4 linked regions of the Astyanax mexicanus genome follow. The protein of the gene in region 1 purifies or fractionates together with the protein of each later gene. This does not show direct contact. Links are inferred from orthologs where the notes say so. Each region holds a gene or a part of one and is shown in the gene's direction. Other genes may lie near its edges.

Region 1 (7,274 bases):
TGTGTGTTTATCAGCCTTTCTCTTGTGTTACCTGTCGTTATTATACACTTCATTTTCTATGGAGCAGGTGGAAGGATGTTTAAACAGAGCTGCTCTGTTGTTCTCAGCTGTTCACGATACAATTCAGCAGGACAGTGTTTGACAAAGTGGCTTTAGATTGTAGGAAAGAGTCTCCACAGGTGCTGGAGAAGCACTTATATTGTTTATCTTATACTGATATAGATTAAATTACACCAACAAAGCTTTAGAGAGGGTTTTTCCACACTACGTCCAGTGATTCTCATATTGTACACTCTGGGCTTGCATGCTACTCCCTGATGTATACCCTTTTTGGACTGCTTGTCCAGTGTTTTCTCTGAAATCAAGGCTATTTATAGGAAGCTGTGCTTCTTTTACTGAAGTAAAAGCCTCTAGTCTTCTGGAAAGACTATACAGTAGATGTAGGAACATTGCTGTGTGGATTTAAGTGCAGCAGCAAGAGCATTAAACAGGTCACACAGTTTGTTTCTAATTTTAGATGATTAGAAACACTACTCCACCTCATCCCAAAGGTATTAGATGAAGTTATTTGTTTCAAAGAATGTAGTTGTACTTTTCCACAGCCCAGTTCCACAGGGTTTTATACTGGTTTGGCTGTCACTTGGCATTAAAGTAGCTGAATTCACTAACTATATGAAATGTCTGAATATAAATGTTATTAATATTTAATATTTAACTTTTCTGTAAACAATCACCTTTTTTTCCAATAATAATAGTCAATAATAGTTCAGTGTACTAAAATGTACTTTAACATGTATTTTGTAATTACATCCTATTATATAATAAAATTAATATAATAATAAATGTCAAATTGCTAGAATAAAAAAAGAGAACCATCAGAAGCAACTGAGGAAGAAGTACAATCAGTCCTCCCAAACCTTAACATCAATGACGGCCCCTTCACACTCGGAGAGCTTGCCAGGGCAAAAACCACCGTAAAAGCAGGAAAGAGTGCTGGTCCGGATGGTATACCCCCAGAGGTGCTGAGGAACTGCGACATGGATGACATCATTTTAGAGTTTTGCAACCTTGCCCTGCTGCACAATCGGCTGCCTGATACGTGGTCTTTATCAAACATCGTGCCAGTGCCTAAGTCTGGAGACCTATCGAAGCCGGACAACTATCGGGGCATCAGCCTGACATGCACTATTGCAAAAGTTTACAACCGTATGATCCTAAACAGGGTCCGGCAGGCAATTGACCCTCTTCTGAGGAAGAACCAGAACGGGTTTCGAGAGAGACGCACCACTACATCCCAGATCCTGGCACTAAGGAGAATGATTGAGGAGGTGAAAAAGAACAACCTGACAGCAGTACTATGCTTTATGGACTTCAAAAAGGCATTTGACTCAATACACCGAGGCATGATGGTGAAGATCCTCAAGGCATACAGTATTCCCCCAAATCTACTCCGAGCAATAGAGTCCATGTATGCAGGAACAAGGGCCAAGGTGGTGACCCCAGACGGCAACAGCGAGGAATTTGACATCCTGGCTGGAGTTATGCAGGGGGACACATTGGCCCCCTTCCTCTTCATCATAGTACTCGATTATGCGCTCAGGAAGGCAATTAATGGGAGGGAACAGGAACTTGGCTTCACACTATCTCCAAGGAAGTCAAGTCGATACCCCGCAGTGGTCCTCACAGACCTTGATTTTGCGGATGACATCAGTTTGCTCTCTGACAACGTGGAGCAAGCACAAATTCTACTGAGCAGAGTAGAACTAGAGTGCGCTAAGGTTGGCCTCAGGTTAAACGCGAAGAAAACTGAGGTCATTACCTACAACATCCCGCCTGAACATCTGCCCCTGATTACAGCAGGAGGCACTGTGCTGAATGAAGTTGATGACTTCAAGTACCTGGGCTCATGGGTCAATTCAACTGAGCAAGACCTAAAATTAAGGAAGGCACTTGCATGGAGGGCTCTGAACGGTATGGCCAGTGTATGGAACTCCAGTCTCCCTCGTCAAATAAAACTGTGCTTCTTCTATGCAACAGTAGAGTCTGTTCTCCTCTATGGCAGCGAATGCTGGACACTTAAGCCAACTCTGGAGAAGTCCCTTGATGGGTGTTACACCAGGATGCTGCGTGCAGTACTTAACATCTGCAATGATGCACATGTAACCAACCAAACCCTGTACGAGGAAATACCAAGAGTGAGCGAGAAAATTGCGGTAAGGCGAATGAGACTTGCAGGACACTGCCATAGGCACCAGGAATTGCCAGCCAGCAAACTGGTGCTATGGGAACCGACACATGGGAGCCGCTCAAGAGGACGTCCCACACTAACCTATGTGGACGTACTCAAGAAGGACGCAGAAGCCCAGAGTACCAGTGAATTGAAAAGATGTATGGGGAATCGGGATGACTGGAAGAAACGATGGAAGGCTCGTCTGAGGACGACCTAGAGAATATACTTTTTTATTGTACTTAAAGCAACATTATGCAATAATTGGTATTTCTTGATCTGGAGCTCTACTCACAGATAGAAATGGTTATTAGCACCTTGAGTCACCCTGTTAAGAATGACATGCTAACATGAAGTTCTTTTAAATGATATAGAGTTGTCACTGATATTAAAATAATAATGTGGTTTATTAAAGTGATAAAGTAAATAATGCGGATTTAACATGAATATGACACAGCATTATGCATAACTCGCCACCTACATCAATGTGTAATTTTTTTTTTTATGAAAACATTTTAATTCTTTACGTTTTAAAAACATAAGTATGTATCAGCTCCACACTTCGGCTGATTAAGATATTGGTACAGAACCCACAATTAGTGCATTCTACTTTTTTATTATAGCAGTTTGACTTATCTATTATTATATTACTTTTATTCCATAATATGACATATTAGTCTTTAAGTTACTTTGAGTTAAGATGTATAATTGTAATAGTTTTGGCAAAATATCCAAAATATGTTTTAAATATATTATGCTTTACTCCTGAGTGTTCATTGGGTAAATGTGGAGGTTAAATTACTGCAGTATTCATTTGATTGTACTGCTGTGGAATAGTGTTTTTTTTTTTTTTACTAATTAGTTTTATTAATAGATAATGAAAGAAACATTCTGGTTGAAGTACTGATGTCAAGAGAAACTTAGCATGTTTCCTTAATAGGTATCTTAACTCCCCGATTTTAGATTTTAGACTCCGCACTCAGCTTAAATGTGAAAAAATTAATTCTTGCAAAACGTGTATTTATTAAACTTGGTTGTATTGAAAATAACACTGCACAATAAGACAAACTGGTGCAAAATAAAAAAAATCTTTAATATTATTACTTTGAAATGATACCTGTGTTTAAAATAATGTATATATTAAAGTAGGAACCATATAAGACTTATTAACTGCAAAATGTGTTCTTTTTTAACTGGTTTCTAAACAGTCACGTGACATAATTTCTTGCCTCTTCCCGTAGCTCTCCTATTGGTTGTTGACATTGTTCACGTCACTATTTGCGCGAGCCGAGTCTCAAGACTTGCGGTAATATTAAACACGGTTAAAAAATAAATATAAAATATAAAATACGGTTGACTTTATCGGAGCGCTGGGACGCGAACTCGACTGACTATAACTTTTAGTTGTAACCACCTTTTACACTGAACGGTCGAGATGACTCGACCACGACTCGACTGCAGCTCGACTCTAGCCAGACTCTCGTGATTTTATTCCGACTCTGGAAATTTGTCTGCGACTGAAAAATCGTTTGAAAATCGTTAGGTGTAAGGCATAATAGGGGTGGGCAATATTATATCGTATACAATATATCGTGACACAGAAATATCATGATATTAAAAATCCATATCGTGATAATAGAGATCTTCTGTCTTAAAAGTAGTCTATTATTTACTGTGAAGCTTTAGGTGTATTTATTGTATAATTGTTTTAGTTTGCAGTTTATATGCATGCACTAAATATTCTGCAATATGATTTGCTGCATTATATTATTTTATGCTATATTATTTATTTTGCCACATTATGATTATACTGTTATACTATTATACTATATTCCTATTATATTATATATTATTATATATTCCTCATATTTTAGTTTTCCTATATCGTTATCGCAAAAATATCATTTTAGAGCCATATCGCCCACCCCTAAGGCATACATATACATATTTGTCATTTAATCTTAATATTAAGCTCAGCTCTGTTCAGCTGCAGTTGTTGTAATGATCCGCTGCGGGGCGCTGCCGGCTCTGTCAGTCAGTCAGACGGAGGGGCTGTGGAGAGAGAGGCATGAGGCAGGCAGCAGATTCCTCGCTGTCAGAGTTTTCAGCGTTTAGAGACACAGAACCCGTGAGTCACTGCTTTCTCTCATTCCTACTCTCTAATGAAGGGTTAACTCCTTTGTGTTTCAGGCTGTGTTCCTCCAGAAACGCTGCAGTTCTTTGGTGTAAATGTTTGTGTAGTCAGTCCGTGACTCAGCCGTTTGCTATTGCAACAAAACTGTGAGCTCGCCCTTCCCGAGAAATAGCATATATACAGCATATATACAGACCACCTTCTTTTCTATTTATAGGTATATGATTGAGCAACATAAACATTGTTGTTTGCTTCTATAAACTACGGACAACATTTCTCCCAAATTCCAAATAAAAATATTGTCATTTAGAGCATTTGCATTGCATTGCAGAACATGAGAAATAGCCGAAATAACAAAAAAGATGCAGAGATTTCAGACCTCAAACAATGCAAAGAAGACATTTCATATTTATAAAGTTTTAAGAGTTCAGAAATCAATATTTGGTGAAAAATATTCTGTTTTTTAATCTCAGATTTCATGCATCTTGGCATGTTCTCCTCCACCAGTCTTACACACTGCTTTTATATATAACTTTATATATAAACCATATAACCAGACTCGCATTGTCCATCCTTCTCTCCTCACTCATTCTCTAATCATTTGTACAAATCTGTGTGTAAATCTGAGTCTCTGTGCTGCTCTGTGTTTACCTGTGTTTACCTGTGTTGTGTAGGTTAGGGCTAATTTATGAAACTGTTAAGAAGTAGGGCTGGGCAATATGATAAAAAAAAATCTCATATCTCGATATGCTTTTAGATAGTAAATGTCAATGGCAATGTACGATATGGTATAATTTATCTGATAAATCTGCTAAAACGTGTAATGTAAAAAAAAAAATCAGCCTTCATTTTTAATAATAAATCTTGCTATATATTCAGTTAGTAAACATCTGTCTGTGTAAGTTAAAAAGTAACATTTTTAAAATAATAAACACAAGACTCAGTACTTACCATAGGACTTATTCTTATTCTTATAACTGCACTGAATTATGTTGTTTTATTGAGATAATGCAAAAAAAAGTTGTAATCCAGCACTAGTGGTGTGCCATATTGTACCATATGCAATAATCTTGCCAAAGTGCATCCAGAAATAGTGTAATCTTATTTTATGGTCGTATAAGTCATCAGGGTACAACTTTTTTTTGCTGTTTGTAGCTAATTTAAAATTCACACTACTCATGTCCCATTATATATCTACTAGAGACAGATTATATCTGTCCAGTATAATTTATTTTACTTTATTTAACTATAATGGATATAAGGAGTGCATTTTTAGAAAATGCTTTAGACAAATAGAGCTTATATGATGCAAAATCATATGATAAAAACCATAATTACAATATTGTTTATAACACCAAAACAATGTGTATATAAAAAAATGTATGTTTTTTTAAATAACAAGAAGACAGATCCAATGTTTGTTGTATTTCTACTGAAATCCAGTGTTTTACTGCACTGAATTATGTTGTTTTAGATGGGGATGATAAAGCCTCCAGGCTGCTCCTGTAATTGCAATGATTCTACATCATAATTTGCAAAAGACTGTACTTACAGAAATGTGATGTACTATAATGCTGCTGGATAACCTGATATTAATGTCGAAACATGACAAATTAAGATCCTAAATTTGTTGAAGCTCCTCAAAGTTTTTTCTGAGGATCACCTGTTTGAATCCTTTATCACGCTGCTTGAAATTAGCAGTCCATGAGACAACAATTTGTCTTGCTCTCTCATGGACGGGTTGAATGACCTTGTGGATGAAGTGATAAAATTACAATTTAAACTTGTACTGCAATAATCATAAAAAATATCATTAATCTTACAGCCCTATACTGTACTATACTGTACTGTATTATTATGATGATGATGCCTGTTAGGTCTTGTAGCATTGGATATTTTTAGTTTTAAATCTGAGCTCTTATGTTAGTTATGTTATAAATGTAAAATCTAGGCAGTTGCATGTGTTATATTTAGGAAAGTTTTGCTGCTTACTAGCTCACATCCAGAATACACTATGCAGGCAGTGGTTTGGGAAGGATTTCCTCAGGGGAATCGTCCTCATTGTAGAGAGGAATGTAGTGGGTGCTGGGAGGCTGGAGGAAAAGCCGTCCTGTGACTGCTGGAGAACAGAGACGTTTGTGTGTGTGTTTGTGCTGCTGGTAGGCATGGTTCTCAGAGGGCTTGTGTTCTGATGATACTTTTCCAATGAGTCAGCCCTGCCGGGAAGACACTCCCTAACATTAGAGGGCCGACTGTAGCCCACTGCCAGACTAGGACTGCCCACTGCCGGCCTAGGCCTGTCATCATCATTATCATCATCTTCATCATCATCATCATCATCATCATTATTATTTTTATCTTTTTCTTTTTTTTTTTTGCCTGCAGATTTTTTTGATTATTCATGAAGATATCAGATTGAATTGACCTAAAATAGCATGTAAAAGCATGTATGGCCTTTTAAAGCTTTCATTATACATTTTTGGGAAAGGATGTACAAGTAAGCTCAGTAAAAACTCGGGCATGGAGGCATACACTTTCCATATGTCATACTGTGGCATATTTGTCAGCATATGTTGCAGCTGGGCCTGTAGATCCTGCACATTTTTATTGAAGCAAACATCACAGCTGGTCTTATGAATTCCAAAATCTGATGGCCAGGCAGGCAAAGGAAGTGTTACAATCTTTTAAAGGTATTCCTGGGAAACGCTGGTTGTATGTGGTCAAACATTATCTTCTTGAAAATCCCAATTGAAGGCCCTGCCATCAGTAGCATAAGTGGCTGCAAGAAGTCCATTATCTAGCAGCCAATTATCTCTCGCCAAGAGGTACACTGCCCAAAAATACCCTCTTGGAACCTTTTTATAGGGCAGTTGAGGGGGCATTTTCACATACTCTTTTAACAAAACTCATTGT
Region 2 (6,849 bases), on another chromosome or scaffold:
ACTTCTGCATGATGTGCAAAACAGTACCACCAACCATCAGAGCTAACTTTTAAAGGGAAACCTCATGTTGGATTGATTCGGATGCATATTGTATCTTCATGATTGATTCTAGGCCTCCTCCTCCTCCTAAAGGCTTTATGGACCTCTTGACCAAAGCAAGCAAGGCCTATATGCAGTTCATGAGGGACCATGTCTAATGGAAGAACACTTTTCGGTCCCTGCTCTAAAAGCTTGGTAGCTTGGTATCTTGTTACGTTGAAGATGTCTGTCACTGATATTTACCCTGATCTGCTCTCCTTTGACCAGAGATGGACTGTGTAGAATTGTGGAGGTCCAGAGAAAATGAAACGTCCAGGAATTAACACTAACATTTCGGACGTGATTTGTAAATGTGTATAGTCTGTGGAAGCCACTCAAGATGCATACAGTCCAGGTGTGAATGATGTGTGTAGTATGTATGTATGTATGTTTTATGTATGTTTGTATGTCTGTATCTCTCCTCTCACAAGTAGAGGTTCTACCAAGGGTCCTTTGATTGATGCCTTAGATTTATGGCATTATTAGTTTCATAAAGGAGATGAGAGATAGGGAAAACATTTTAAATGTTTAAAGGGTTATTTACCTATTTAAAATGTTCGTCATACTCAATTTCAGCCTCTTTTATGAATATGGTTCTTTATGAAACGAAGGATGATTTTTCTCTAGTGACTGTTAGGAAACATGGATGCTGGGCACAGAAATGCTGAACTTAAGATTCCTGAGAACCACAAGTTTAAATAACGCACCGGCATCTGTTGGCTGATGTAGTGAAGCTGAGTATTCAGTGCTTTCCTCAGAGCAAATTGGGTGCCAAGTAATTTCTAATGAGTCATGCAGTTATCCTCATTTTTCTATAATGTTCTAACTATTGCCGGCAATGGGGAAGTCTTGTGTCTGGTGAAGTTTTTGGGTAAAATGGTTTAAATAGAACAAAAAAACAGTGGGTTATGCTATAGGTCCAATAAAAATTGTAGTGTAGAAATTAAAGCAAAATATTCAGACTTGTGTACTTTTTTCTTTAGTAAGTTTACACAGAAGTTTAAATGTATAAATATCACTTAAATTCGCAGAAAGAGCATGTTGCAGATGACTGGTGTCAATTCCTGAATTCCAAAGTGTAACCCTGCCTTTTTTAAAATTATTTCTGTATAAAAAATGTGCCAGTGTTGGCACAGAAAAAAAAAAACAAAGCTGTGGTGGCTTCACTTTTGAGATGCATTGTGCTGTCCATGTTTTCTACAGTCATTGGGTTTTTCTACGGCATCTCTCAAAGAACCTCTCTTTCTAGCACCTAAATTATTACATTTTTGAGGGTGTGAGAGTCTGTCTGAGTGTGTGTTGGTGTGTGTGTATGTTGGATGTAAATCTTCTAATCGACTGCTGTGCTGGTTGGATTAATACGTACTACAGATGGCTGGCCTGACCTCAGACCAGTCTGAGCAGCAGTTGACTTGTGCTGTGCCACATATGAATGAGTTGAAACCAAGACATAAAAAAAAGGTGCTCGCTTCCGTAGATGAGGTAAAAAAAAAAAAAAAAAAAAGATAATGTAAAAAACCTATAATGTAAATCAAGACCCTTCACCTTTTCATAGTCCTGTTAGCACTGGTCACCTCCTCCACACCAGCGCAGTAAAAGTCACCTGCAGTTTATTGTTTACTTTTCAGCTGTGAAGTGTCACTCAACACTCTAAATCAATCCTCTCCTCTGACATTGGTGTATTTCGGAATAACGGCGTGCAATAGATATACTACAAGCTTTTGACATTTAATTGTAATTTTACTTTTTATTTTATTTTTCGGAATGATACATGTTGGCAAAAACTCCTGTGTGTTTTTATAATCATACCTTTTGCAGACGAAATTGCACTTCTAATGCCGAACACAGCAGAACTGCTCTCAGATCAGCAGCTAAGTGCATTTTCACCTGCTCTGAGTAACACTATTTTATTGGTGTGCCTCCATCTAACATATTTGCCTTTTCCTTTTCCTTCTGGGACATGTCCTGTTTTTTTTTTTTTTTTTTTTTGCAATGTGGGGTGATAAAAAAAATGAATAAAAAAAAGCTAGAGTGCAATTTCAATAATATTACAATGCAATTCTTACCTATAACCTTAACAGTACACATAAGATTATTATTCCTATATAGATGTATATGAAGGATTATAGGACTACATTCACACAAGAAAAGGAAAACAGTGTTGGATTTTTTTTTTTAATTATAAATACTCCCATGTTTAATAGTTCCCTCCACTATGCAATCCTGCAAGTATAGTTAAGAGTTAAGCAGCTGAGAGGGTACTGCTTTAACATGAATACAGCTGACCCAATCTGTCTTCTTTTCACCTAAGAAACATGCATGCATTTATTGTATTATTACTATTATTTTTATGTTTTTTTGTTTAGCCATATTGCACTTTCACAGATTTGTGATTGGAAATGGTTTGCTCTTGCCTTTTCCATATTATACATTTCAGAGGGATTAAAAAAAGTAAAATAAAAAGCGCTCAAAGATTCTATCAATCTCTGGATTTGGACTAATCATATTTAAGACCAATCATGTTCTTTTTTTTCTCTCTCTAAGAAAAAATGATAAGCAATTGTAAACATTGTACACAGTTTGTTTTTTGTTTTATTTTAATGTTGTTGTGTTTTAATGTATTCATGTATCATTTGCAATGGATGTCTTCATTTACTCATCCAGCACGGGGTTTTATCACTCAAACCCATTTCTGAGAAACTGTATGTTTATGTAGTGCAGTGGATAAAGAAAGGTGTGTCTGTATTGTCCTCACCAAAATATGTTGGTGCTTGCAATCAGCCAAGAAAAGTGTGCAAAGCAAATTAAAAATGATGCTCTGGACTCGTTAACCACCCTGACTCTGTTTCATCATCATCTTCCTGATCTCTTTTAGAGTAGACATTAACATTTTGCTAAGGTATAGTCTGAATAAATAGAAAGTAAGATGTGTTTAATTAATTTGAATTTTAAAGTAGAGCTCCCTCAATGCAAATCAGAAACAACTGATTTTATTCCGAACTGATGCAGTGACTGATACTTTCTATCAACCAGTACAAGACTACATATTTTAGTCAAATCTCAACACTTAAAAAATAAAAGCCATAATGAAACGACAGCATTAGTTAGCTCTTTATAAAGGGTTTATAAATAGTTTATAAAGGACTTTTTTTAAAAGTTTTCAATTTTTTTTTTTTTTTTTTTACTATTTAATGTTTTATTGGATTCAAAGTATTTGCTATATACAGGAAAATAGCACATTAATCAATATCAACAAACAAACCAAAGATAATGAGCACCAGTGCACTAAAAGATTTTATGAAAAAAAGAAATAAAGCAATAAATACAGAAGTTTAAGAAATTTTACACAGTTACATGTAAATCAGATTAAATAAATCTTCTGCCTTGTCCTCATTTAATAGTATAATTTATATTTTGCGTTAAAAGTATAGGACTTTCGTTCCATCAAAACTTTTTTCATTAAATTGTTTCTTCATCCAGTTAAAGCATGTGGCTGTATAAAATACTAATGGTTTCTTTATAAAACTGTAAACAACACTTTAAATCAGACTTTGTTACTTTTACTACGTTACTTCCTCCATGCTGTGAATGCGCTTTTAAAATGTTAATTTATTCCCACCCGTATTCAGACAAGCGCCCTGTTTATTGGACAGATTAAGCGTCATTCACACATCACTGAGAGCTGTCAGCCAATCACAGAGTGGTATGCTGAACCCTGCGCGTGGAGCAGAAGGCGGGTTTAACCCTAAAACGGGTGTGCCACGGTTCACAAATATCCATTTCGCTGCCCTTCTGCCGCCATTTCGTCCACCTCGACCGAGCTGCAGAAAAAGGAGGAGAACTGCGCCGTTACAGCAAGCGAGCCGCTTTTCTGAGAGTTCAGAAGATTTCTGTGTTTAATTTTCTGTCGGAAAAGGAGAAGAAAAGCTGAAGATGTCGGCTGAAGGTGTAGCGGAGAAACAAGGCCAGGGGTAACGAACGCTACAGCTAATTTAGCTAACCCAGCTAACTAACCTGTGATTCTTTATTTATTTAATTAGCGATAGCATTAACTAGCTACGTAAACACAGTAAATGAATTGCTAGCTGAGATTTATCTCAAATATTTACGCTAGCTATGCTATGTAGCCTAGCTAACATTTAATTTCTGTTTTGTAAGCTTGTGCACGACTCCAAGACAACCTTAGCAACCATTGCTAACAAAGCCAGGCGAGGGCCCGCATTTGAATGCGTGCGCACTGTTCTAAACCTCGTAGCTTTAGAAAAAACTCTAAATACAGTTTTATCAGCAGTTTATTCAAGCTTAACATTAGCTACATGTAACTACGTTTATTGTATACGTTAAAATCATGGTAAGAAGTGAGTTAGCAACATTTTATGAACTGCGCGATATGAGCTAGTCGGATGGTTAGCTTCAGAATAAAGGCCCCCAGCCATGCCCCCGGATTCTGTTAGCTTGGTAGCTAACAAGTTTAGCCAACCTAGATTAGTTAGCTAAGTAACCGGCTATCTTATGTTACGCTTTTTCAGTGTTTGTTGCTCCAATAGGTCAAAATAAAACGTTACACTGTGCCTTGGACGATGTGACCAGTCATGTAACCAAACTAAACTAATAGCGTTTAGCTAAATTGTAAGTTACAGGAAGCAGCGTTAGCTAATGAGGTCCTGAAAAAGTTCCGCTGTTTGAACTTAAATTGTTAATCTAACTAAAGCTAATTGCACGACAAATGAAAACAGAACTATGTTAAATAACATGCATACCTCACTTTCATGCATATCTACTTAAATTCTGGAATTTTAAAGGCCAAATGTTAGTTAACTAGTGCTACAGTAAACCCAAACAGCTAGTTACGTTACCGTATAAAAAGCCACCTGTAATGTTGCATATTAATTGGTAGTTGGGATTTTAAAACTTCAAAAGTAACTTATAACCTAATTAACATGTTTAAGCTAAATTAGCTATCTTCTGTTGTGTAAGCTTACGCAAGCGTTAAAAACAGTAACGTGAGCTAAGCTAAATTGCTAACAAAGCCAGTCGAGGACCCGCATTGAATCTGTGCACTCTGTTCTAAACCACTTAACGTACCTATAGCCAAATCTATCACTCACATAGAACAAAATAAGCAGCTAAGCTAGCTTAACCCAGCTCATTTGTACTGGAAGTAGATAATGATTACGCTGAAAATATCTGAACCATTAAGTTAATTAATTAATCTAGCTTACTGCATGCCCAAAAGAGGGCAGGACTACATAGCGGCATACCTTTTAAATTAACCTTTCAGAATTTAACTAATAGATATGCATTAAAGTTTATGGTTCGTGGTCATGATCTTTTGTTCTCTTGTCAATTGGCTGAGCCTCTTTTAGAGCATGTTTGCACACATTAGCTGCATCTAAAAGGTACGAGTAATTGTGGGTTGAATAAAGTGTAAACTCATAACTTGTTTTACTTTTAATATTTTTTTTTTATGAATAGCTGATCCAACCTATTAAAAAAAAAAAAAAAAAAAAAAAGAGCCCAGGTGGTTTTCTCTGATTGAGCACAGGGGCTCCACTGTAGGGATTCAGGATTTTGCTGGTCAGTTATGTTTTGCATGTAGTGAAGCAAAACAAAAATTGTCAAGATATTTGTCTTGAAATATAATAAAGATCAAGTAAATAGAAACACTTAAGCAAAGTACAGATACATAAATTTATAAATACCCTAAAACTAAATTTTATATATGCTGCCCATTTATGTTTGTAAATGCTATTGTCTTCATTATTGCTGTAAAATGTACTTTTTTGCTTAAAGTTAATTTATTGTTTTCTTCTCTTTTAGAAATGCGGTAAATGGAAAGGCCGGCCATGAACCCAGGAAGGAAAGGTCATCAAAGCGTGGAGGGGGTAGATTTGAGCCCTATGGCAACCCTGCCAAGAGATACCGTGTGTTCGTGAGCAACATTCCCTATGATGTGAAGTGGCAGGCACTGAAAGACCTTATGAAAGACAAAGGTAAGTTTCAGCTGTTCAAGGTAGAGAGTTGTCGTTTTAGTTTGGGGGACTAGGCCCCCTTTTGCTTTCTAGATTTTGGAAAAAAAATTGGAAACTGAGGTGGTCTTAAACTATTGTTAGTAGCAAGCACTGTAGACCGGCAGATCTATATCTAAATCTCTGTCGGATATTGCTTTCAAATGGAAGGCTGTTGTGTAGCAGTGCAGTTCAAGCAGCATTTGCGGTTGCAGTGGGGTAGTGCCTTAAATTCCATTCTGGAAGTAATGGCACTCTAAGTGATGTGCAAGGCTTGGAGAGTTTGCTCTGAGCTTTGAGGTTTTGTTACCTATTCTTCTAAATGACTGGGGAAATCTTTCATATTGTTCTTTTGAGTTTTAAGATGAGTGAGCAAAAATGCATTCAAAATTCAGCCGTGCCTTGTTTGGCTGTTTTTACTTAAAATGGCACTATAGTATTTGGTGAATTTCTTGCTTAAAGACTAGGCTGTTAAACTGTGTGTGAATATATTTAGGGTGGAGTCAATACCCCAAGAGCAAGTTCTGTTGCAGAAAAGATTTAGTTACGATCTGTAGGCTATTGCACAAATAAATGCCTTGACCATTCTTCATAGCCTATGGTGTGCAAGCATGAGGAATATCTTTCGTGTCATTGTGGAAATTGCTGCTTGCAGAATTAAATTGCATTCTCTGTTTTTTAGGTATACCAGAATGAATGTGTTCACAGCAGATCTTCATATTGTACCCTTGACTGGAAGCGTGTTAGTTTTGTTGGGGTACAG
Region 3 (7,842 bases), on another chromosome or scaffold:
ACCCAGCAGCACAAATTCATAAATTATTTCATCCAGCCACTGCTACTCCACCTTTATGTCAAAGATACATTTAACACGACATATCCACTCCCCTCCTACTTTTTTCTTTCCTGAAAGTTTCATTGGCTATTGTGGTCCTGACATCACATGATCATTCTGGGGTAATAAACATACGTCAATAGAATAAAACAAATCTCTATTGTTTAGCTAAGCATAATTTCACAATTTCCTAAAAATAAGCTTGTGTGGAAAATAAAAATATAATGTGACACAACAAAACAAAACAAAAAATTACCATGCACAAGTTCTTGACTACTTATTTTTTTTAAGTAGGCATCAGTATCTGTATCTAAATACTTGATATCTATGCATCCCTAGTGATTTATGTATAGAATATGTTTTGTATATTATATGGACATATTTTATGTTATATTTCTTGTTATAGATTGAAACTTGAGGAAGGCAAGGATTAACCAGACTGTAGATTTTGAAAGGATTAATGCCACATCTTGTGTTTACTGTGTACTCATACGACAGCATAAAGGACCATCACAGATTCTTCCAAGAAATGCGACAATCCAAAGGTCCATTCATGTCATGGAGATGTTAACCATAATGTTTGTGGGTGATAACAGGTTGAGAATGTTAAACTTTTCAACAAAAAAAAAAACAACATTTCTGCTGAACTGTTGATGAAAGGCATTACACTGACATGGCAGGAACTAGTTTAGTGTCCCATGACTTTTGCCATGTCCCATAAAAAGTTAAGGAATGCTGAACTGACCAGCAGCATGTGTGTCTGGGGCCTCCTGCATTAAATGTGTATGTTCACTCTGACAATTCTAGCCAGACACCACAGCGCTGTCCACTGTGGGTGGTGATGCCTTCTATATCATATTCCTGATACACATTTGACACTGTGGATTGAGGAATGTCACACACTCAGAAATGGATTGTCACATCCGTTTGACACCTAATACAAGACCTTGCTCCAAACTCTGGTAATTTATATCACATTGTTATGAGCACACTGGCCAATTGCCTCACTCACAAGATAATACCACACAAATCATACAGGTGTGGGTGTTCCCAAGCAACGCTTCATGATCATTTTAAATTCTGCTATCCTATGACTTGTGGCATGTACGTGTAATAGGCTGTCTGACTCACCTAGGCTGCCAATACAGCCTCAGATTTTTCCTAGATTTTTGAACATTGCTGTGAGGATTTTTTGCGTGTGTTTAGACATTTGCATACACAGTGATCTGTGCAAGCAAAGCCAAAAGATTTAATATTAATTCTGTGTCAAATGCATATTTTTGCTTCCTCATTTAAGAGAATATCCACTTGATGGCAATGGCAGTCTGAAATACCTCTCTCCTCAGATACATACTGTATATTTACATTGTCAATATTAATATTGTAAATATTTTATATGGAACATATTAAGCACATTTTATCATTATCATAGTACATGTAGAATACCATAACATGTTTGCAAAAGATCATTTTTAAATACAATCTTGTTAAGTAAATGTAAGGTGAGGCGAGATAAATGATAGGAACCCCTTTCCTTTATACAGAAATAAGGAAATTGCTGCTGTAATTACTGTAAAGTCTTCAAACTGTAATGTTTGACCAATACTGTATGTAATGCTCATTCAAATTGTTTTAGTATTAGATCTTTGTCATTTTCTTAATCAATTTTTATGCATTCTTGTGCAGTGAATTTCAGTTGACTGGATACACTCTTATAAAAGGGGTTCATCAATGGTTCCTTAGTAAAATAATTGATTCTTTATAGAACAACTCTCCATGGACATGACCACAAGAAACATTTGAATGCTTAAGTGGGTTTTTGGTAGTGTAGAGTTTTCTTCACAGTGATGGAAAATCAAAAAAATATCCACTATAATTATAAATTAAAGAACTATTTTGATAAGAGTGTAAACAAATCACACGTCTTCATTTACTCAAATTTACTGGACTAAAAGATTCTCTGGCTGAGACCAATTAAAAAAAAACATAGTGATATTACTTTATTTTGACTTTTGACTCTGTTTTATGTTACTATGTTTAATGCAGTTTTGTAATGTTCATCATTTTTAAACGTCAGTGTCAAAATGCAGCAGCCATATTTATCTTGCCTTGGAGTAGAAACTTATGAACAGTGAATGGATAATTTCTCTGTAGATTCCTGTATATTCTCAGACCATCAGCAGCACCCATGTTTATCAGGACTGCATGCCTTCCTCTAAAGTCGCTGTTATAATCAATGCTGTAATTACTTACCCATTCCAATAGTTTATTTTCTACTGAACTGCTGGTGCAATCTGTGACAAATTCTATGTTCAAACTGGCAATGTATCATCTAATTATCACATAATAAAATATGTTACATAATGAAAAAAAAAATGCTTTTGCTCATTAAGACTGCTGCAAAGTGTAAACATACCCTATACACCATGAATTCAATCCATGCTTATCATCTCTTATCATCTCATCATTGCTGCACACTATGACAGTTCCTGAAAATTATATTATAAATATTTAAACCCTGTGGATTTATCTTGCAATGATTTACAGCTGTTGCCCTTAAACAGTCAAGTGAATTAGCTGTCTAATATTTCTTTGTAATAAGTGTCCAGAAATCTATCAGTCACTGGAGGTTAACCTACTTTATGTGGAAAAAAATGTATCTATTTATCAGGATCCCACAGAACTACCACACGGCAAGTATCAATTGGGTGATGGATCATTCTCAGCACTGCAGTGACACTTGCACGGTGATGGCAAAGTTGATCAGACACAGCAGTGCTGCTGGTGTTATTAAACGCCTCAGTTTTATTGCTGCACTGACAGGCCTATAATTGAAGAATAGGGTGAAAAGAGATAATAAAGTATACAGACAAACAGGAGGACTAGAGTCTATATTATTCAATATATATTATATAGAGTCTATAATTACACTATTTAGCACTGTAAAACACAAAACGTAATATTGTTCTCTTTAATCAAAATTATAAGCCAACTAAACAAGAAATAATGAATGGCGCCATAAAATATAGCAAACTAACTGCCTTAACTAACATTATCAAGTTTCTTGTTAGAAGTTCGCCTAAGTAAATCATTTGTGTTGGAAACTTTACAAATTGTAATAGTTGAAAACTACTTGAGGCCAAGCCAACTACTCTGCACACCTGATGTTGTTTGCATATTCGGCGTATCCTTCCACCTCTCACTCACTATCAGTGTGTAGTCATTCTCTAAAAGGTGTCTTTTCTTGGAATTTATATGTATATATTTATATGTGTTTTATCGTAGTTAACTGCCTGGTCTCAGTTAATGACATATACATAACAGTCATAAATTCTCAGTTGCCAACTTAAATTCACAAAAGTATTGTGCTCCTTATGTTTGTTGGATTTATGATAAAATATGTGATTGACACAAGTTAATTGTTCTAGTTGATCTTAAAGGATAGTCAGCACGTTTTATAGAATCTAAATCAGGCCAACTAACAGAACAAATTGAATTTTTAAGTTGGTGAGTCTTAATAATAAAGTTTTTTATGCATATAAAAAAGATTATCTGAACTAAAGATTTCTAGATTTCTTTTTTCAAAACTTAAAAGTTTGAGTTCAGAAAACTCCAGAGAACTCGAACGTCCCAACTAAGCTTCCATAATATATTTGCACTGTAGTAAAATGCTTTCATTTTTAATGTGCATTTATGTACCATCCTTCTCCTTTACTTGCAGAAACAATGCTGTGCGTCGATCACCTGGCCAGTGTTTTTTAACCAGTCGGCCGCCGCCCCCCAGTGGGACGTTGAGGTACTGCAAGAGGGTCGCAGGTCAAAATGAATATATATTTATTTATTTTGCAAAGTAAAAATTCTTCCAATATATAGGTAATTCAGAAAATGTAAAGTAAGATGTAGCAGAAATTTATTCAATTTACAAAACATGTTTAGGTCGAGCTCGTTGATGGTTTCATGGAGTAAATTATTAATACAGTTTTTGGGACAAGAAAATAATGAAGCTGCAACATCTACAAGTGCAAGCATAAATTAAACCAAGAAAAAACAAGAAAAGCAAACATAAATTAAAATTAACAAATATAATAGGCTCCATGTTCACAGGAACCAAATAAAAGAAAGCAAATAAAATATGATTAAAGGTTTTGCGGTGCATACACACATATTTTAGGAATGCCAACATTATTAAAATATTGGAAAAACATGCAAAATAAAAAAAGCCTAAATCTAGAATTCCTATTAGAACCATTATGCTTTATTTTGACAAATTATACCAGAGGAAGTAACATAGAAACCAGATATTAATAGCAAGAATTCTTCTTTTGATTGCTAAGTAAATTAGTTGATAGTGGAAAACAAATAACATAATGGAGGGAAGGGGATAATGATTTGTATTTAATGAAAAACATGCTAACCTACAAAAAACTACAATTAAAAACTGAAAAAAAAAAATTTATAAAACAAAAAAAATATTTCTGACAAAATAGCGCCCAGTTTTTCAGTTATTATACACGTAATGTATGTATTTACTTTTTTCTGTACTCTTAGATATAGCTGCATTTTTTCTTCCTTAAGGAATTGTATAAGGGCTTTAAAATAAGACATATTATACCTGTATTGTCCTTAAAGCACAAATGTTAAACAAAAAAATATGTTAAAAAGTTTTGCGGCGGGTTACCCTGACACAGAGGACAGAATCACTTACATGCGCTTCAGATCCACGGCGGTGTGGGGGTGCTGGGGCTGACCCGCCTCTGTGACTCTGAGCTCGATTAGCGGTGTCTGAAACCCTCATTGTGTTGGTGTCGATTGGTGAGGTCTGGTATTCTGCGCGGGCTGGGATTGTTCAGTGTTCACTCTGAAGCCGCTGTTTGTGTTTTTGCACAGTTGAATATTGGAGATGGCCGATGCGCAGGACGACAAGCGGTACAAAGCTGAATATGCGAAGAGCGGGCGAGCCTCCTGTAAGAAATGCAAGGACAACATCGCTAAGGACTCTCTGAGGATGGCCATCATGGTGCAGGTACGGAGCGCTGCACGCCGTGCAGGAGGAGCCGGAGCCGGGGTTTAAACAGTGTCTGAAACACGGGTTTAAAACCCCGATTAGTGTAGTTAATTAATTATCCCGGGCCTGTCTCTGAACTCACCACATTCACCACAGGGCCAGCCAGACTCTCCGCCTCATTTAACGTCTTATTGAGAATGAATTTTATACCGTTCCACCTTAAACGTTGCCCGGTAACACTGTGGGCCCACAGGCGGCAGCGTGTAGCTGATACGCCATTTAAGGTGGAACCGAAAATCACAATAACAAGCATGAGAAAGAGGAACCAGCAGCTCGAGCTGTTCCAGGCCTGAGTCAGTCCCGCTGCATGAGGCGCTGCAACTGGCTGCCTATCAGCTAAATAAAGGGATGGATGTTTATTCTAGTTACTGCTTTAACACAAAAACACTCCTAATGGAAAATACATTTACAACATGTTACCAAAGTATTGTACACTCAGTCTCCTTCAGAAAAAGGATATTTGACCATACCATTTTTCATTTTAAATTATTTTACATTCACTGCTTTTAAGTTGTGTGTTTTATTTTATATTAAGTGTAGTTCCACAGGTTTAAAGCACTGCAAAGGAAACAAAGGAATTCAGAGATTTAGTGAGAACTTAACTACAGGAACTCTGCTTTGTGTACAGTGGGGGTGTACAGCTTTATAGCATGTTAACATACTGTAAAATACTGTATAACAGATCAACAGTGAGCCTACACAAGCCTGTATTTACTCTTGTTGTTAACTATTATCTTGAGCATTTATTTCTACATAAAGTTTTATTTATGTATTTAAAATACAAATGCATTTTCTGGTGCTTTGTTTGTTTATGATGGTAAGTTGTCTGTTTATGTCCAAATAATAAAGTGTTTGTAAGTGGTCATTTGTCTCAACTTCTTTGGTTGCAGAAGTGATGAATGAAATTAAGGTTTTTGTGTTTTACTCCACAGTCGCCCATGTTTGATGGAAAAGTTCCACACTGGCATCATTTCTCCTGCTTTTGGCATCGAGCTGCAGTGCAGGCGACCTCAGACATATCTGGCTTTACCGATCTCCGCTGGGAGGACCAGGAGAAGGTGAAAAAAGCGATTGAAGGTGGAGGCGCTCCTGGAGGTAATTGTATTTTATTATTTAGATAAATAAGACAAAGCACAATCTTACCAAACGAGCAGTATAACATGTTCAGTTAGTTAGAGGGTGTCATAGTAATTCGGGGAAAAAGAGGAGAATTTTGCTTGAACAGCAGTGTTTTTAACACCACACAAAAAGAGTGTTGATCAGCTCCATTTACTTTTAAGTCCACCACCTTCCATAGAAGAGAAGCTGCATCTCTGGTTGAAGATTCTAGATTTAGTACATTTAGCCAAACATTCTTGCTCAGAGAGATGTCTGTTATGAAGCTCCAGTAAAGCGTCACAGCACCTGATGTTTCTGTCCCATCTGAACCTTGTAACTGAGATTCCACTTTAAAAATGATCAGATCAGATGTATGAACATTTGGGAGGATGTTTTTTTAAATTCAGCTATACATACATATATATATATATATATATGTATATATATGTATATATACAGGAAAATAAACTCTCGGAAGTGGACATGGTCTGAATAAGTTGTATACTGGGCAGTGGTATAGATCATTGTTTCTGTATCTTTTAATTCTCTCAGCAAAAAGTGATCAGAAAGGAGCCGCTAAAGGAGAGAAGACGCTTAATGACTTTGCAGTGGAATATGCTAAATCCAACAGAAGCACCTGCAAGGGCTGCGATCAGAAAATTGAGAAGGTACATTACTGATGCCTTTATATATTATTGTTTTAGCAGGTCATGACTATATTTGAGTTTTCATTAATGTAACCCTGCTGAAATTAAGAATTGGTTAAAACATTTTTACGACTTTGCTATACTTCAGGATCAGATTCGTGTGTCAAAGAAAACAGTGGACCCCGAAAAGCCTCAGTTGGGCCTAATCGATCGCTGGTACCACACAAGTTGCTTTGTGAGCCGGCGTGAGGAGCTGGTCTTTAAACCTGAGTACAGTGCAGCTCAGCTTAAAGGCTTTGCTGCCCTACGAGCCGAGGACAAGGACGAGCTGAAGAAACGACTGCCTGCTGTTAAGACTGAAGGGTGAGTGTCAGCCTGTATACTAATCATAGTGTCTTATGCAAAATACAAATACACTTTAACAATTGTATTGTTGTTTTTGTAATGTAAAGTACAGTTCAGTTTTATTTGTATTGAAATCATTGCAGAAAAGTTGTTTTTTTTCTCTGCACAGTCACACTTTTCATTCAGTTTTTTTTCCAAAATATGATTGTATGCATATTATTTTAGTTCCCATGACTTTGCCTGTAACTTTTGTAAGCCCTATTATGCAGTGTAGCAAGCAGTTCAGTAACTGGGAATGACATATGTTCTGCTTGAATGTTAAAACGTTTTTAAGCCTAAACAAAATCATGAATCATGTTTGAGAAGTTATAGTTATTACAGGAAAAATTAACTGCCTCAGGATGTTTGTGTGTTTGTACCTCCACCCTAATCCTCTCCATCTCTGACACCTCTGAAGCACAGGAAGATTCCCTTGAAGGCTTCTCTGAAACTCTTCATCTTGTAGGCATAGAGGAACGGGTTGACAGCTGAGTTAGCATGGGAGAGGATGATGGCAGTGAGCAGCAAGGGCAGGGGCACAGGGCAGGTTGGGCACAGTAGCAGAAAGCAGTTGATCACATGCAGCGGGATCCAGCAGACAGTGAAGAG
Region 4 (5,927 bases), on another chromosome or scaffold:
CCCCTGAAAACTATTAATTTGGCCTACTAGAAAGTTAATCTAACTAAGTGCAAGTTTCGTAGTCTTAAAATTTTATTGTTAAAGTATTTTAGTCCTTGAATTTATAGTGAAGTCACAGTACAGTTTTGAGTACAATTCTATATTTATTAGGTATATATCAACACTTCTAATTTCTAATTTTCATTTTCTGTTCTTATATAAGTATATACGCACACTTGCCATCAAAACTGGGACTGTTGTATGTACTGGATTAGTACAGCTATGGCACCAAAAATATTCTAGTAAGTCCAGTGCAGGCAATCTACTAGGAATAAGTGTAGATCTGTGTGTCTGTATGAACCTTCACTTTCTGTCTCTTAATTTGCTTACAGTGGGCTTCCTCCGCAGCGGCACTAAGCTGCTGTTCCGCAGGAGGCACAGGCAGAAAGACCCCAGCTTTAGCCAGTCCCACGAGGACGTCTGCAACCTGGGCAACGACTCGTCCACGGCCTCCTGCTCCTCCAGCGGCCGCAAGAAATCTGGAAGCTTTTCACGTCGGCTCATCAAGCGCTTCTCCTTCCGATCATCCAAAACCAAGGGAAAAAGTAGCGCCACCAATGGAGGAGCCAGCACGGGAGACAACTGAGGCATGGGCTGTGAAATCAAAAAAAGAGAGAAAAACACTAAAGAGAGAAAGAGAGAGAGAGACACGGTGCGGGCGCCTGTCGAAAGAGTTTAGGGGCAGCTAGAGCATTTGGAACAGTTCATTTGGAACAAAAGGAAAATTGTGCTTCTTGAACAACTTTATCCTACAGAGACTTTTGGGACACGCTGGGAATATTTTTGACCCTTTGTGTTCGTTGTACGTAGGTATTTGACGCAAACAGCAGACGCTGCTTTATGAGAGTGAGGTAGATGCCTCACGTTTTGTTTAGTGCTGGAATCGCAAAGAAAAATGGGGGGGGGATAAAGGGATTTATTTGTGTTCTTCTGAAAACACCTTTTGATTGTGTAATGTATAATGTTAAATAAGAGACTTAAAATGGCTGCTTAAGTGGAGGAGAGGAGGTGGGTGAGTTGAGAAATAGTGGTTGAGTAAAATGCTGTAAGACTTGTTCAGCACAAGGGGGCGACATAAACCAATACTTATCAGAAAGCCTCCCGCATTATGTTGCTATTCGTTTGTTTGTTTTGTTTGTTTTTTACTATGATTACTATTTATTTAATTTTCATCAGTTGCACACTTTTGAAACTCTTTTCTGATTGTTTACAGTGGTGGGGAGATCTTCTTCATCAGTTTTATTATTTTTGTGTATTGTTTACTGTCACTGACACTAAATTATTCCTCCTTACCAAACCAAGGAGTCTTCAGTGGGTGAATTATGGTGAGGCTTATGCTGTGTGCTTTGTTGTTTTTGCTGTAGTTGATAGCGAGTTAGATCAACAGATATTTAAGCCCTGTTTTTTTCAAATTGTGGTTCTTCTTTGATTTACATTGTGGCACCTTCTTCTTTTATTATATTCATTTGTTAAAGAAATACACGAGTAGTACGCATATCTCACAGTTACGCTTGAGTGGAACAGAAATGGAAAAATAGACAAATTTAACTCAGATATGTTTATTCTTCTTAAACATTTCTAAAACTGATAATCAACACGTCTTTAAATCATGTCTAGTTAAAGTTACAGTAGGTTGGAAATGTATTTCAGGTTGAAAAAAAAACACCTCAGGGGATATCATGAACGGTTTCCACAAAATTAAATATATAAAATTTTTTCAAGACTACTCGAAGCTCGGACAAGCCCACACTTTATATTTCTTTAATATTTAGCTGCAATAAGATAACTCAGACTACCCTGAATGAATGGGGTCCCCTGCATGCATAGATGAGCAGACCTGAACGTGTAAATAATAGTGCTAACGTTTACGTTTTAAAAGTTTCACCTTCGATTTTGCATAAGAACATAAATAGGTGAAGGACGGCAGCTTAATTCAGCTTCTCATGGCTTTGGCTATTCAAAGGGAAATTATCTGACCACTCAAAGACCACAGCTTGATGGATGGTTCACTGATGTTTCAACATTTTTGCATAATTCAGTTTTAAGGTGTTAATGCTCAGTTGGAGTGGTTTATTGTGATGAGTATTATTCCAGAGAATCTTACTATAAAAAAAAATCCAAAAATAATCTTAACAACTAAATTAATGCATATATAAAAAATATAATATATGTTTAGGCCAAAAGCGTGGTTTAAAAATTGTGATATCTTTTTTATTATGGAGCTTTGAGGGACATTTTGAAAGCCATTCACCACCACTGTGGAAATTTCTCTAGAACAGCATATTTCCCAACAAACAAAATTAAATCATTCAGGTTAATGGGCTCTACGTGTTAAGAAAAACATATTGGGCGATATCAGGAAAACAAAAATACTCAAAGTTATGTCCATATATTATACAATGAGCTGAAAATGTAATTATTGTGAAAGGTCTACTTGGAGGCATTAAATACTTTGGATGCCCAGGTTTATTCACTACAATTATGAACAATTCTGACTCAATAAATTAATATAGAATGATCATTATCAGTTCACACCAAATATCAGTTCACACCAAACCACGCTGACACAGTTTGCTTACATCTTAATGGTAAAATAGGACAAAACATGTAGAAACATCAGTGGAATTCCAGTGTATAAATACAGTGCTGTGGTGTTTGATGGTGAAAGCTGGTTGATTTTGACCTGTAAGCTGTTTGTTTCTTATCCAGGCCAATAAAGTCATCATTGTCTTCTTTTTGACTCCTTAAATGACTTCCTTAAATCTTCCAGACAATGGCTTCAGGCACACACAGTCTATATTGCAGTGCATTCATTATTTTCAGAGGGTTGTTTGTAAATTAGCAATTTTCAGCTGAACATTTACAGGTGGGATCCTCTACTCTTTCTCCAGTCTTTTATCCCTTTTCCCCAAAAAGCCTGGAAAGCCTGAAGACCCCAACATTACACTGCTAGTAGGCCCAGAATGTCATTGTCTATGAAAACAGTGAGCCGCCTAAAGAGAAACAATGCCTCTCAGATATTTGATGCTTTATATTACTATGTGGCTACTTCAATGTTTAATTTATTCTGAATAAATTATTTTTGAAAATGCACTTGTCTCTGGTTTATTTTCTTCCAATCTGCCACTGAAAATAAGTTCTAAGACTTGCCTTGTTAATAAAGGTGTAAAATTTTAAAATAAACAATATATATTGTATTAGTTTGAGCTATCACACTGACATATAGTTCTTTAGTTACTATAAAAAAAAAGTTGCATGGCTGTCCAAAAAAATAGGGAACAGGCCTTCATTCATTATTTTTCTTGCAATAGAGATGGATTGATGTAGTGTAGTGTTGTGTTTAACAATGAATTTCATGTTATACCAGAGTTTGATTTCTTGGCTGAGCTAACACAACACACCAATAAAAGTCTTTAGACGTTATATATGTTTGTTTCTAAAAACTGGTCCTGATAGGAAAAGTATTGATACTAAGCTCTTTTTTATACAGTGCACTAAATATGCATTGTTTTTTTTTTAATATACTTTGTGGTGGAATTTTGACTGCAGTAAAAAATATGCAGAGCAGGAAGTACTACTGCCTCCTCTTTATACCTTTTTTTCTCACTATATCCCCATCCCCCTCTCTCTATCTCTCTGTCCATATACCCCCCTCTTTCTCCCTGTTTCTCTCTCCCCTACCCCCACTTCTCTCATTTACACAGACACACACACAAGCCATTTTGACTTTTTATAAAAAAAATATTTAAAAAAAGTATTTTTACATTAAAGTTTATGGATCTTAGCTTTTGTATTGAACCAAAAAATAAAATAAATATATTTTTAACATTTTATATGACTTATTTAATATATTTGACATATAAGTAAACTTAATATACGGCCTGCTTTTTTGTAATATTCATGTGATGAGGATTGCAGAAAATAAGTATTTTTAAAAGGCCAAGAACATTAATACATATAGACATACATGCATATTAGCTTTTGTATTTAATAAAAAATTGAATAAATATATATCTTATATTAATTGGTTATGTCATATATTTGATATAGTTTAAAGCAGTACATTTTAATGTACATCCTTAATTTTTAATAACCAGATGGTGGCACATTGACTTTGATGTGGGGTTATAAATAATATAAATATGCTTTCTGCTCCTTATTTCTTCATTAAAAAAACATTTTTAAAGTTCAAGAAGTGGATGGATATTAGTATATTAGTTGATATTGAATCTAAAAAAAATCTAATAAATATATAATATATAGGATGAGTTAAACTTAAACCAGATGTTTCTCATCATTCTGAATACTTTTACAATATAAAAATGCCTTTGTTGACTTTCCGCCAAAATACCTCGACTTAAAATTCAGAGGGAATACGTACAATTGGTTTGAATTTTCCGCTCAAAGTTGATGGACAGCGGGAGAGACCAATGGTAGCACAGTTAAACTTCGCCGCCCAACCAGAGTGCAAGATTGAACCGTAACGCTCTGATTGGTGTTTTACTTTGCGCTGATTATGCACAGCGGTTTTCAGCCAATGAGCGAAAACATCCTGTCAGGCTTTGATCACACGAGCCAATCCGTCCGCTCTCGGTGCGAGTTTGACGAATGGGAAGGTAGGGGCGGGCCTAAGCGCCCGTTGAGGCCTGTCCTTAAATACTGCAGCAAGTCCAACCCCACAACCAAACACCGATTTTTTTCTTCTGAAGCTTAAAGAAGTAAGCGAAGAACTTATCAACATGTCTGGAAGAGGAAAGACCGGAGGAAAAGCCCGCGCCAAGTCCAAGACCCGCAGCTCCAGGGCCGGCCTGCAGTTCCCCGTCGGCCGTGTGCACCGTCTTCTGCGGAAGGGTAACTACGCTGAGCGAGTGGGCGCCGGAGCCCCGGTGTATCTGGCCGCTGTGCTCGAGTACCTGACCGCTGAGATCCTGGAGTTGGCCGGAAACGCCGCCCGTGACAACAAGAAGACCCGCATCATCCCCCGCCACCTCCAGCTCGCCGTCCGTAACGACGAGGAGCTGAACAAGCTGCTTGGCCGCGTGACCATCGCTCAGGGGGGCGTCCTGCCCAACATCCAGGCCGTGCTCCTGCCCAAGAAGACCGGCCAGGCCGCCGCGAGCTCCAGCAAGGCGGGAAAGAAGGGGTCCTCACAGTCCCAAGAATATTAACTCAACAGAAATGGCGCGAACTCTGACTTGATAACACCTAAAAAACCAAAGGCCCTTTTAAGGGCCACCCATCTCCTCTGAAAAAGAGCAGATTTCACTCTGACTTTAACCTCCTTTACCTTCTATTTCCATCATCAGTCTTGTGTGGGTGTGTCTGTCTGTGTGCTTTTTATACGGTGAAAATAAACATGTCTAACTTGAAATTATTTGGGGTTTTTTTTCTGGACATCCTTGTAGCCAAAACTTGTTTCATTCATTTTTTGTTTAGCTAGGTTTGCTAACTAGCTAGCTACTGTGCAACGTGCCGTTTGGCGCTAGCTGATAGCATAGCCTCTCTGCTAAACTAGAATCTGAAAGTGTTGTACTGTGACTAAACTAAATGTCTTAATTTGACGCAAGGATCGCTTTAATACAGGCTTAAGTTGGCTAACAAAGCATGTAAATCTGTTATTTAATGATCATCCAGCTCCTTGTACATTAGAAACTGTAAGCTCTCCAACTAGATAACGTTAACCTATAAATTGTAGTGCAAAAGTGGTGAAAAAAACCCATGATTAATTATAAATAAGATCATTAGATTTTAATCTAAATATTAATAACGTTACCGAATTCATTGTGAATCTGCCTGCATGCTGACGCACAGTCTGAAAACTAGTGTAGCTGTAATTTATTGTCTTAATGTAAGTAAGCTCTCAAGTTAGGGACAAGTTGTAAAGCAAA

What was found.
Region 2: the proteins of lmna (region 1) and hnrnpm fractionate together in Homo sapiens (co-fractionation; 3 studies listed by BioGRID, with this or other methods). This does not show direct contact. The link is inferred for Astyanax mexicanus from reciprocal best matches to the Homo sapiens genes LMNA and HNRNPM.
Region 3: the proteins of lmna (region 1) and parp1 purify together in Homo sapiens (affinity purification with western blotting; 3 studies listed by BioGRID, with this or other methods). This does not show direct contact. The link is inferred for Astyanax mexicanus from reciprocal best matches to the Homo sapiens genes LMNA and PARP1.
Region 4: the proteins of lmna (region 1) and histone H2AX purify together in Homo sapiens (affinity purification with mass spectrometry; 3 studies listed by BioGRID and IntAct, with this or other methods). This does not show direct contact. The link is inferred for Astyanax mexicanus from reciprocal best matches to the Homo sapiens genes LMNA and H2AX.

Annotation. Positions count from the first base shown.
Region 1 is NC_064413.1:40,511,594-40,518,867, reverse strand, and holds the start of lmna (lamin), read left to right. Parts: upstream 1-4,246; 5' UTR 4,247-4,355; intron 4,356-7,274.
Region 2 is NC_064423.1:14,799,206-14,806,054, forward strand, and holds the start of hnrnpm (heterogeneous nuclear ribonucleoprotein M), read left to right. Parts: upstream 1-3,845; 5' UTR 3,846-4,011; coding exon 4,012-4,049; intron 4,050-5,898; coding exon 5,899-6,071; intron 6,072-6,849. UniProt on the Homo sapiens protein: Pre-mRNA binding protein in vivo, binds avidly to poly(G) and poly(U) RNA homopolymers in vitro. Involved in splicing.
Region 3 is NC_064408.1:79,680,221-79,688,062, reverse strand, and holds the start of parp1 (poly [ADP-ribose] polymerase 1), read left to right. Parts: upstream 1-4,827; 5' UTR 4,828-4,939; coding exon 4,940-5,062; intron 5,063-6,036; coding exon 6,037-6,199; intron 6,200-6,754; coding exon 6,755-6,870; intron 6,871-6,997; coding exon 6,998-7,212; intron 7,213-7,220; exon of another isoform or gene 7,221-7,620; coding exon of another isoform or gene 7,621-7,842. Other genes in the region: adenosine receptor A2a-like, read right to left, coding at 7,621-7,842. UniProt on the Homo sapiens protein: Poly-ADP-ribosyltransferase that mediates poly-ADP-ribosylation of proteins and plays a key role in DNA repair.
Region 4 is NC_064408.1:15,369,021-15,374,947, forward strand, and holds histone H2AX, read left to right. Parts: upstream 1-4,682; 5' UTR 4,683-4,778; coding exon 4,779-5,207; 3' UTR 5,208-5,410; downstream 5,411-5,927. Other genes in the region: phospholipid transfer protein C2CD2L, read left to right, coding at 372-625. UniProt on the Homo sapiens protein: Variant histone H2A which replaces conventional H2A in a subset of nucleosomes. Nucleosomes wrap and compact DNA into chromatin, limiting DNA accessibility to the cellular machineries which require DNA as a template.